3 linked regions of the Sus scrofa genome follow. The protein of the gene in region 3 purifies or fractionates together with the protein of the main gene of each other region. This does not show direct contact. Links are inferred from orthologs where the notes say so. Each region holds a gene or a part of one and is shown on either strand. Other genes may lie near its edges. The genes, in order: PAK2, GIT2 and ARHGEF7.

Region 1 (3,648 bases), on a different chromosome or scaffold from region 3:
AATCTGCAGAGAGAAAGAATTAATTAGAGTTGAAGAACAGTATTTTTAGTTATTCTTACTGGCACACTATTTAGTTCTTTGATTTTTGCCAACAACAAAGTAATCTGTCTCTTGTGTTCAAAAGAATGAGAATAAGATTTTCAGATTTGTCTTATAAAAGACTGGGAGCTAAGAGGAATAAACGTGAAACATTTTTCTTTGGTACATCACATAAGTATTTTTTCTTTCTTTTTTTCTTTTTAGGGCTGCACCTGTGGCATATGGAAGTTCCCAGGCTAGGGGTCAAATTAGAGCTGCAGCTGCCGGCCTACACCACAGCCACAGCAATGCTGGATCTTTAACCCACTGAGCAGGGTCAGAGATTGAACCCACATCCTCCTGGATAGTAGTCGGGTTCATTACCACTGAGCCACAATGGGAACTCCTCCACTTATGTATTTTAAAAGTCTCTGTAGCAAAGCAGATGATCTGTGAACGAAATAAATCTAAGTACAATCAGATCTAAAATAACATAATAAAAAAGAAGCAAAAAACATAGTACAAGTTTGAAAATGTTTTTTCTAAAAGAGAGAAATACAGGAGTTCCTATCGTGGCTCAGTGGTTAACGAATCCAACTAGGAATCATGAGGTTTCGGGTTTGATCCCTGGCCTTGCTCAGTGGGTTAAGGATCCGGCGTTGCCGTGAGCTGTGGTGTAGGTTGCAGACAAGGCTCGGATCCCGAGTTGCTGTGGCTGTGGTGTAGGCCGTGGCTACAACTCCGATTGGACCCCTAGCCTGGGAACCTCCATATGCTGCGAGAGCAGCCCAAGAAATGCCAAAAAATAGACAAAATAAAATAAAATAAAAGAGAGAAATACAGAGCAAAATAATGGAAATCTTGATGTTGAACTATCATTAATTTCCATAAAACTTTTTATATAAATATAATTTCCACCATTTTATTTCAAACAGCCATTTCTAAGTAGTAAAGAAAACACAGCTCTCTATCACTAGATGAGGGTCCAATGGCAGTCCTCCGAGCCCTACTTGTCTATTGTGCCAACACCTCACCATACTCTGCTGCTTTTATTTGTATCAGAACAAGGCAGACTCTTTCTGTCTCTATCTAAGGTTGTTATTGTTAAAATTCTCCCGTAGCTGTTAGAAATTTCATTGAGCAGCCTTGTGAAGGCTTTGAGAAAAATGTAAAATGGGAGATCAAATATATAATTTGGATAAAAGGTAAGCTCCAAGTTTTAGATACAGTACTTATCTGTACTGAGATAAAGGTAGAGAAATAGATGAACTCCCTCGAAAAGATGGTGTAATAGAGAAAGAAAAAACAATGAGAGAAGTATTTTAACTTTTTCTTTTTTTTGCTTTTTAGGGCCACACCCAGGCCATATGGAAGTTCCCAGACTAGGGGTCCAATCAGAGTTACAGCTGCCGGTCTACGCCACAGTCATAGCCACATCAGAGCTGAGCCGCATTTGCAACCTACACCATAGCTCACTGCAATGCAGGATCCTTACCACCCTGGGCGAGGCCAGGGATCAAACCTGCAACCTCATGGTTCCTGGTCGGACTGGATTCATTTCTGCTGAGCCATAACAGGAACTCCTATTTTAACTTTTAAAGAAAACTAGTTTTTTGATGACTAGTGTTTAGGTAAATTTCTCATACTGAAATATTTTAAGTCTGAAGACTTCTTAGAAATTAATCACTGGAATTCGAATACAGACAGCTGTTGTTAAAAACATACAGGTACGGACACGCACAATCTAATTCACTAATCAGAAACTCACTGATTTTGTATGATCTGGTCGTGGGGCAATAACAGGAGGAGCAGTCTCTTCATCATCATCGTCTTCCTCTGTTACTACTGCTGACGTTTCCGATCCCTTGGTATGCAGCTGCATTTATCACATGAGCAAAGGAAGGAGGACAAGTCAAGTATTAGGATACTTTAGAATATGACTACCTCTCCTTTTTAACATACCTGAAAAAACTATTTAATAGCTCACTTCAAAACAATAGAACCTCACCAGTACTAATCTTATAATCATTTTAAAAAGTAAAGGCAATTGTATACATTATAGAAAAGTAAGTTTATAAAGCAGATATATACAGTAAATACCAGTATTCTTTTTTTCTTTTTTCTTTTGCTTTTTAGGGCCACACTCATAGCATATGGAAGTTCCCAGGCTAGGCATCGAATTGGAGCTACAGCTAACAGCCGACACCACAGTCATAGCAACGTGGGATCCAGGATCCGAGCCTCATCTGTGACCTGCACCACAGCTCACGGCAATACCTGATCCCTGATCCATTAAGCAAGGTCAGGGACAGAACCCACACCCTCATGGATACTAGTCAGATTCATTTCTGATATTCCACAATGGGAACTCCCCAATAACAGGTTTTTTTTGTTTTGTTTTGTTTTCTAAGGCCATACATGAGGTCTATGGAAGTTCTCAGGCTGGGGGCTGAATTGGAGCTGTAGCTGCCTGTCTACACCACAGCTATGTAGGATCTGAGCAGCATCTGTGACTTACACCACAGTTCATGGCAACACCAGATCCTTAACGCACTGAGTGAGGCCACGGATCAAACCTGCGTCCTCATGGATACTAGTTGGGTTCGTTGCCACTGAGCCACGCCAAGAACTCCCTAATACCAGTATTATTAAGAGAGAATTCATGCCTTTTAACTAGTTCAAAAATAAACAATCACTTTATTTTTTAAGTCCAAAACCAAAAATCTTCTGGGCTCTGTATAAGTTAGAGTCATTCTCAGTTATTTAAAACAGCCAGACTAGAGTTCCCTGGTGGCCTAATGGTTAAGGATCCAGCATTGTCACTTCTGCAGAGCAGGTTCAACTCCTGGCTCATGAACTTCCACATGCCACAAGTGCAGCCAAAACAAAAACCAGCCAGATTCACCAACAAAGTTGTGGCTAAAGAAGGAAAAGAGAAAGGCATTATCCTTTTTTAAGTTTTTTGGCTGCCCCCCACAGCTGTGGCAACACCAGATCCTTAACCCACTGCACCAGAGCAGGAACTCCAAGGCATCATCCTTTATACAGAGTTTATTATATGACAGGTGTGCGCTAGGTAGGTATTTTACGTGATATTATATGCAGTCAAATAACTCCAGGAGATTGTTTCCTCCAAATTAAGGAATGGAAAATAAAACAACTGTTTGCAGGAAGTATTTGTGCTTACATGATAACTTAAAATTTCAGACAACTCTGAAGATTTTAACAGGCTTCCATTATTCAGTATATTTCCATAGTCTATATTCAGTAGGATGATGCTACAGGAGAATGTTGGCAAGTTCTTTTTTTTTCTTTTTAGGCCGCACCCACGGCATATGGAGGTTCCCAGGCTAGGGGTCAAATCAGAGCTACAGCTGCCAGCCACAGCCACAGCCACAGCCAAGTGGGATCTCACCTGCGTCTGCGACCTATACCATAGCTCATGGCAATGCCAGATCCTTAACCCACTGAGTGAGACCAGGGATCAAACCTTCGTCCTCATGGATACTAGTCAGATTCATTTCCACTGAGCCTGTTGGCAAGTTCTTTGTATTCATGTTTATATATAGAAATGTTATCAAAAGTAGCTAAACTACTCTAAAGATACCAAGTTTTAATTACTTTAAGCAT
Region 2 (3,648 bases), on a different chromosome or scaffold from region 3:
CTGCACTCTTTCCAGTGGGCCCCATGGGTTACAAAGAAATAGAGTATTTATAAACATTCCACTCACTGTACTTTATCCTGTGGATTAGCTTTGCGTCTTCCACTCAAAATAGAGGCAGGGTCCAGCAAAGAATGCTCCCATATAGAATTAGCACCGTTATTATATAAGGTTTCAACCATCTAAAACCAAGCAGTATAAAATCTTATTTTAATTTCTTTTCACAAATATCCAGTGGAAATGAATAACTAAACTAGAAACACAAAGCCCCATTACAAACAACAGCATGACTGGGATATCACGCACATTAGTATTTTCTGAATTTAGAATGAGAAAGATGAACCTGTATGCAGGATTCAGGTTTGACCAGTAGGACAGCTAAATACTTATAGAGGTTTGATTATGTTTTCTCATAGATGATGAAAAAAGAGTACTTTGACATATTAGGGCAGTATTTCCCAAGCCTGAGCACTCAAATACTGTTTTCAAGCTACTTAAAAACCTAGGTACCATCTAGACTATCCACTTATTATTTTTCTTTAAACCCACTTACTTTCTAAAACTTTCCCTAGCAATTATACTTTGATGTGCTAGTTATAGTTTTATGCAACCATTAAAATACATATTTGAGTATTACCTACATCTAACTTGAGTAACACTGGTGTTCACATGCCACCTTCTGGGAACTGCTTTAGGGTCAACTCTGGCTTTTTTTTTTTTTTTTTTTTTGGCCTCCCCTTGACATAGGGAGCTCCCAGGCCAGGGATCAGATCTAACCCACAGCAGCAAACTAAGCTGCAGCTGTGGCAATGCCAGTTCCTTAACCCACTGTGCCGGGCTTGGACCTGAGTCCCAGCAGTCCCAAGCTGCTGCCTATTCCAATGCACCACAGCAGGAGCTCCAACTCTGGCATTTTAAACTACTCATTTCTGGATTTTATTCAGATCTATAATATAATCTGTACTCTGTATAATCTGGGAGCAGTAAACATCCATTTTCACATGAGAATGAGCTGTTAGAAACTTCTTAGCAAAAGTTATTAATAAGCCGTATCGCCCAGTTTCAATTCAAAGCATGACTCCTGACATTACTCCTCGTTTTTTACATTAGCGGAGATATCTGTCACATCAGAGATCCAAGCTCACTTGCTCCGATCCTTTGGTTCATATAGGGAAGTTTAAGGGATGTGTTGTGCAGCTGCCACAGATTCAGTAAAATATGTCCTCAAGACAAATGAAGGCGAAACACATGCTTAAGTCTGAGTTCCAACAGAACTTGAAGAATGTGTACCCCAAAATAGAAGTACAGGTGACATGACAATGGACCCCCAAATAAAACAAAGAGCCCACTTAACACTTAGCAGGGTGTTAGACATTCAATCCAGACATAACTTAATTGTCTCTAACTAGTTATAAGAACTTTAAGAAAACCTAAATCAGATGTTTCAGAAATTTCTGAGGAATCCCAGTCCATGCTTCCATCAAAGCAGGAAACAATGAAAAGTTTCAAAGGGCAGTCACTTTAAGAAACATTGATCATGGTACGTGGAAAAGATGGGCTTTAAAAACAACTTCTGGTGACATTTTAGAAAGTCAGCAATGAAACATAAGCAAGAAATTTTAATGACTGCCTGTAACTGAGTTTTTGGGACAAGATTTACATTAGGAGGGGAAAAAGAATCTTAAATGATGAATTTAATACTTGTATATAGCATTGATAAGCATGGCACTTCTATTCAATTATGATTTAGAAGTATAATTTTAGTTGCTAAAACATTGAGCCCTAAAGATGTAAATTACAAACATGAGAAGAATTCTTATTCTTTACCTGAAGCAATGTTGGAGGCCATGGTGTGTGTTTGAGATGCCTTACTTGAGAGATATGGCGCCCTAGACTCCGATGGACACTGCAGCACTCGTCACATATAAAAGTTCCCCTATTTACTGATGCCCAGGAAGGATCTGGAAAGAAGAATGAAATCAGTGGCAAGGATACCAAGTGGTTGCTATACCGCCAGATGGCAAAAGATGACTGAGATTTGGTTTTTCAGAAAAACAGGACATCTTTGTTGTTTTAGTATGCTAGTCAGCATATCAAGCTGGTGAGCCTGTCTGAAGATAACCCCTGCCTTGGCTGGGGGCACAAATCTACTGAGACTGAAAACCTGATTACAGCCCTAAATAAGCACTTCTCTCCTCTCTGGTTCAAGGCCACAATCTGACACCCTAATATGATCTATCATCACAGATGTGTGCTCTTTCATTCAGTGTAAAAGAAGCAAGTTGAGAGCATTCACATGAATCATTTTGAATCCATCTCCACAAATGGCAAGATAACATACCTGTGTCAGTGACAATCCGCAGAGCGACATGTGAAGAGAGCAGTAAAAAGATGGCTACCCTAACACATGCTACATATCTACCTGCCTCTGGGCTTAGCAGAAAGCTGCAAGCATACATGACTATAAAACTGTTCAACTGCTGTGGTTCTGAAGACAGACTAAGAAACCTAGACTCCTCCGTAAGAAATGTGCTATGATATCCATTAGTAGTTGTAAATAAACTACTGAGTCCGATCTCACAGCTGATCTGAAGTAACAGAAGTTGTAAAAACAGCAGCCTCACAGAGGCAAAGATGTAAAATACAAATGAGTGATTTTTTTTTCTGGCCTCGCTCAAGGCATGCAAATGTTCCCAGGCCAGGGATAGAACCCACACCATAGCAGTGAAAATGCCAGATCTTTAACTTGCTGAGCCACCAGGGACCTCCCTAGAGTAATACTTTTGGTGTGCATATAATACTTTTTTCCTATGAAGTCCTACAGAGCTTCATTAGACATCCTTTGAAACAAGGAATAATTCACACTTGGTAAGCAGTATGAATAATTCACACTGGGGAAGTAAACTAGACACTTAGAAATTCAAAATAAAGACAGACCTTCTACATTTCATCAGACTCACAATGGAGTGACAATAGTTGCCGCTCAAGCTGCCTGGCTTAAGGGTTATATTTAAAAATTCTTCAATGTCCACAAAAATCTCGAAAATGCATGTACACCATCTTTACCATTTTTAACAGTTTATTCAAACCCTTTCTAGCCATAAAATGAAAAGTTATGGGATTTCAATCAAAGACAAATCAGGAGTCAGAGAGTGTAGTGGTTAAGAGGGATGGCTCTGGAGACAAGCAGTCCAGGGTTTGAACCCCAACTCTGCCACTTCTTGCACAATGATCTCAGGCAAGTTATTTCTTTTTGAGAGTCCTCATTATGGATCAAATTGGAGGAACAACACAATCCAGGGTAGTGAGGATATAAAGAACAAGCAAAATTCCTTGCATATAGGAAGTACTCCGTAATGGTAGCTGTTACAACGTTTCTAAATCATTTTGGTAAGTACCATTCAAATATTTTCAAAAGCCAACGAAATTCATGACCATTGGAAAAAGGTTTTGACTGTTAATACTTAAAACACTGACTGTTTCACACAAATACTGTATTACTATAGTGAAAAATCTCAGGGGAATTTTCAGGTAGTTGAACTCACAGAAGGATATGAACTAGATTCATTTTTTTTAAAGGTAAAACTAGTTATTAAGATTTGATCATGGTTATCAAATGTTTGCCATGAAATAAGACAGAAACAAAATTAT
Region 3 (4,120 bases):
TTGCATTAACATATGTGCTTGGCACAGAGCAAGTTCTCTGTAGGTGACTGCGAATGCTGTCTTAAATTGCCCCGGGCAGTCATAGCCCGCAAACAGGCAAAGTGCACACTGGGTCCCTCCAAGGAGAGACGCTCCCTTCCTTAGAAGATGGTGTGTGTCAGCCCTCCTCTGAAGAAGTTTTTTCGTGGCTTAGCAGTTGGGCGGCTGAGCTCTTCAGCTCTGGCCCATTCGGACGCAGCCAGGTCTCTGACTGAGACCTCTTGCTCAGGGCCAGTCCAGCCAGGTTGCTTGTTTGGACTGAGTGAGCTGTCCTCACCGTCCTTCCTCCGGGATCATCTGCCCAGATCCAGTTCAGGCTCTGCTGTGTTCCTGACCTTCCTCCCACAGTGTCTGAAACAGCGCCATCAAGTTAAAGCCGAGTGGCTCCAAGGCTTCCGGTCGGGGAGAGTGGGACCACCGCATCCCGGCCGGTGAGGTCACGCACGCGGACGGGCCTCCCAGCAGAGGGCACGCGTGACCCCGGCCGCGCCACGCTCCGGGGCGTCCCTGTCCCCAAGGATGGCAGCAGCCTCAGGAAAATCAGTTCCTCCCCGAATTAGGCCCATCTGGTCACAGATTTAATTATCGTTGTGTTCGGTAATTATTGGCTTGCAAGGTAGCTGAGAGAAGCAAACGTCTCGTTTTCAGCTCCCCCCGCCCCCAACCTCTTGGGGAAAAAAAAAAAAAAAAAACCTGGCAAAAATAACGTTCATGAATTAGAAGATAAAGGATTCCGGGGCTTCCGAGGAGGGAAGAGGCGGCGGAAGGGCCCGACGGCGAGAGGAGCCTGGCTGGGCTCTCGCCTCAGAGGGGGCTGCGCTGGGGACCCGCCGGGCGCCAACGGCTACGGGCGCGCGCGGCCCGGAGGGTAGGAGGCCCGGCGAGCCCTCCCCGGCCGGCGGGCTGTCGCCTCCTGGAGGTCACCGGGCCCTTGGGGCGGGGGCCCAGCACCCGGCGGCGCAGGTGGGGACGCGCGCGCACAGCCGGCCCGGGTGCGGAGGGCGCACGGCGGCGGGCCCGGGCGGGCGCGGGGGCGCGTGTGCGGCAGCCGGGTGCCGGCGCGGCCGGGGGTCGGGGGGCCGGGAGGCCGGGGGCCGGGGCGCGGGGCCGCTCCAGCGCGGCGTCTTTCTTCTCCTCGCAGTGATGTCATCGGCGGCAGCGGCTGGCAGCCGGGAGGCGGCGGCGGGGGCGGCGCCGGGCGGCCGCCGCAGGTTCATGTGCATCTAATGAAAAGGCACTTGACAGTCGGCCAGGACGCACGCGAGGGAGCGCGAGCCGGCCGGACCGCGGCGCCGCCCGAGCCAATCGCCGTCGCCGGCCTCTCCATGGGCGAGCAGGAGGAGGGGGCGGTGGGCGCAGCCGGCCGGGCCGCGGCCGCTCCGAGGTGAACCGCGCCGAGACGGGCTCGCGGCGCGGGGAGGCCGGGCGCGCCGCCGCTATGAATTCCGCCGAGCAGACCGTTACGTGGCTCATTACCTTGGGGGTGCTGGAGTCGCCCAAGAAAACCATCTCGGACCCGGAGGGCTTCCTGCAAGCGTCTCTGAAGGATGGGGTGGTCCTCTGCAGGCTGCTGGAGCGCCTGCTCCCCGGGACCATCGAGAAAGTGAGTGCCCCCCGGCCCGCGCCCCCGCGGCGGACAGGCCCGGGCGCTGGGAGGCCCGGCGGGAGGAGTCCGGGCGGTGGGAGCCCCGGGCGGTGGGAGGCCTCGCGCCCCACCTGGCCCCCGCCGCGGCCCGGGATGCGCGGAGACGCTCGGGCGCAGGGTCGCCGGCGCCGGCACCTGGTGGCCGCGCGGGCCGGGAGAGCGCCGGGCGCCGCGGAGCCCACGCGCCTCCTTTGTGCGCGGACCCGGGAACGCGGCCCGCGCGGGGGGCGCGCTGGCGGCGCGAGGACCCGGTGGCGGGATCCCGCTCGGGGCGCCATTGTGTGCGGTGGCCGCCGGGGAGGGGGCCGGGCCGGGTTCAAGGGGAACGGCCGGGGGGAGGCCCGGAGGGAAGGGGAGCGCTCCGCTCTGCCCCGCCCGGAGGAGGAGTCGCCCCTCTCCGCGACCCGAGCCGAAAACCAACCGCTCCAGCGCCGCGCACAGCTGCCTCGCAGGCTTTGTTTGAACAGCTTTTGTTGGTGGTACCGTGTGAGAGTTTCGCCCTCTGTTTAACTGACCGATTGCGGTGCGTTTTTAAAAGATGCATTTATCAATAGCCGAGGGTGGGCTGTGAAATGATTTGCTGCCCTCCCCGCGGAACAATTCCCCTGTCCCCAAGCCCAGATGGCAGGCGCAGGAAAGCCCCGGCGTTCTTCAAGTCTGGCATAAGATCCTAGATTTCATTTTCAGGTTCCTACCTGATTTTAAACAGAGCCCCTAGTCCTGGAGACGTCTCTTCTATTGCCTGGTGGTTTCCTCGGGGCTGGAGTGTGAACCTTGACCACAACTCTGCGAGGGATTCAAGTTTGCTTCCTCCGGCTCCGTTGACTAAGTAGGGGCGAGCGGGTAGAGCGGCGGATCCCTGTACTTCAAAAACACTGCAATTCTATCCTAATTTTTTTTTTTTGCCAATACATAATCTTAATATCAGCAGTTACTTAAATGGTTTAAATGTAGAAATTAAAGTGCAGACTAATGAGAAATACTATTTAACTTTGAAAAATGGAGTATATCGGCCCAGCAGCACAGTATTAATTTGCTAATAATAAAATGTTAATTAGGTGACTTTAAAAAGTAAAATGTTTAATCTTTTTAAGTTTGCTCATGTTCTGGCATGGCATTTTAAAGGTCAGAAAAGATTTTATGTGATATGAGTTGTGTATACATATGAGTTTTAGGTATTTTCTTACTTGCAACATATTTCGGAAAGCAGAATCTGCATTTTAGGATGAATAGCCCTGGTCTGTCTGTCCAGGAAATAAAAATGGTGCTTCTAAATGAAGCTGATGTCACAATAAAATTATGATTGAAGATAGGAATAAGGAGCAGGAGCTAACTTTGAAGGCACAGAATACTTGGTTGTTATCTGGATATCAGGACCTCTAGTAATAAAAGACAGATGTTGAAACGCATTGAAAATGCAGGCTAACTTTACCAAAATGGGCTTATGTAAAAAAAATGGTTCCATTCCAAGAGTGAAGCTTTGAGAAACTTCAGAGGCTATTTGACCAAAACCTGTCATTGTTGATGCATGTGTTATTTGGCATATTCGCTGCGTGCCTATTGATTGGCAGACCTCAATAATCACTTTCTTTTAAATTGTTGAACGGTTTTCTTAGAAAACCATAGCATTCCTTTCACCTCGGAAACAACAAAGAGAGGAGTGAATAACATGTTTAATGCGCAGAAGCCCAACGGAAACAACCCAACATGTCCTAAAACTGGTCATTTGGAAACTTCTTACAGTGCAGCCAACCTTTTACCCCCCCGCCCCACCCCCCGCCCCTGACTTGTTTGTCTCAGAGGGACAATCTCAATGAAAGTTCAATATCAAAGTAGCACATTCTCTGTGGTACAAAGGTAGGTTTGGGGAGTAAAATATTAGCCATTCTCTGCCTCTAAAAACCCCTGGGTTTTAGAAGTCTCACGAGCCCGTTCCATTTCCTCAGAAGAGTATTTATTTGAACTTTCTGATGTTTGTATATGCACAGCAGATAGCGTTTGCCAGAAAGCACACGCGGTGAACAGCTTTTGCTCGAATGTTGGAATGTTAGTCTGAGGATGTTTTTCCTTCAAAAGGAACATTTGGGAACCTCACTGAGTATTCCTGTGGACGCGAAAGGATCTGAACTTGACCTCAGTTTGCCACATCAACACACAGGAGACTGGTTATCGGGGTGCAGGCAGCCTGCAACTTAACCTTTGCAAATGCACAAAATTTAAAACAAACCCTCAGGCTGGGGAGAGCATAGCGCAGAATCGGGAGAAGGTTCGGGGTGGCGCAGGGCTCCCATGTGCCTTTTATTAAGAAAGCATGTCCTGGTAGGTCTTGTGCTCGATGTTGGCTTGTTCTGTCTTAGGGCCGGCAAGAGGCTGGAGGACTAAACGGGAAGTTCGTCTCGGTTCAGACGGTTCTGCTCATTTTAAAAAGCATTCTGT

The links.
Region 1: the proteins of ARHGEF7 (region 3) and PAK2 purify together in Homo sapiens (co-immunoprecipitation; 5 studies listed by BioGRID and IntAct, with this or other methods). This does not show direct contact. The link is inferred for Sus scrofa from reciprocal best matches to the Homo sapiens genes ARHGEF7 and PAK2.
Region 2: the proteins of ARHGEF7 (region 3) and GIT2 purify together in Homo sapiens (affinity purification with mass spectrometry; 6 studies listed by BioGRID and IntAct, counting the BioPlex papers as one, with this or other methods). This does not show direct contact. The link is inferred for Sus scrofa from reciprocal best matches to the Homo sapiens genes ARHGEF7 and GIT2.

Annotation. Positions count from the first base shown.
Region 1 is NC_010455.5:133,310,451-133,314,098, forward strand, and holds part of PAK2 (serine/threonine-protein kinase PAK 2), read right to left. Parts: intron 1,895-3,648; coding exon 1,787-1,894; intron 4-1,786; coding exon 1-3. UniProt on the Homo sapiens protein: Serine/threonine protein kinase that plays a role in a variety of different signaling pathways including cytoskeleton regulation, cell motility, cell cycle progression, apoptosis or proliferation.
Region 2 is NC_010456.5:40,998,870-41,002,517, reverse strand, and holds part of GIT2 (ARF GTPase-activating protein GIT2), read right to left. Parts: intron 1,959-3,648; coding exon 1,825-1,958; intron 180-1,824; coding exon 67-179; intron 1-66. UniProt on the Homo sapiens protein: GTPase-activating protein for ADP ribosylation factor family members, including ARF1.
Region 3 is NC_010453.5:77,426,099-77,430,218, forward strand, and holds the start of ARHGEF7 (rho guanine nucleotide exchange factor 7), read left to right. Parts: upstream 1-1,253; 5' UTR 1,254-1,477; coding exon 1,478-1,642; intron 1,643-4,120. UniProt on the Homo sapiens protein: Acts as a RAC1 guanine nucleotide exchange factor (GEF) and can induce membrane ruffling. Functions in cell migration, attachment and cell spreading. Promotes targeting of RAC1 to focal adhesions. May function as a positive regulator of apoptosis.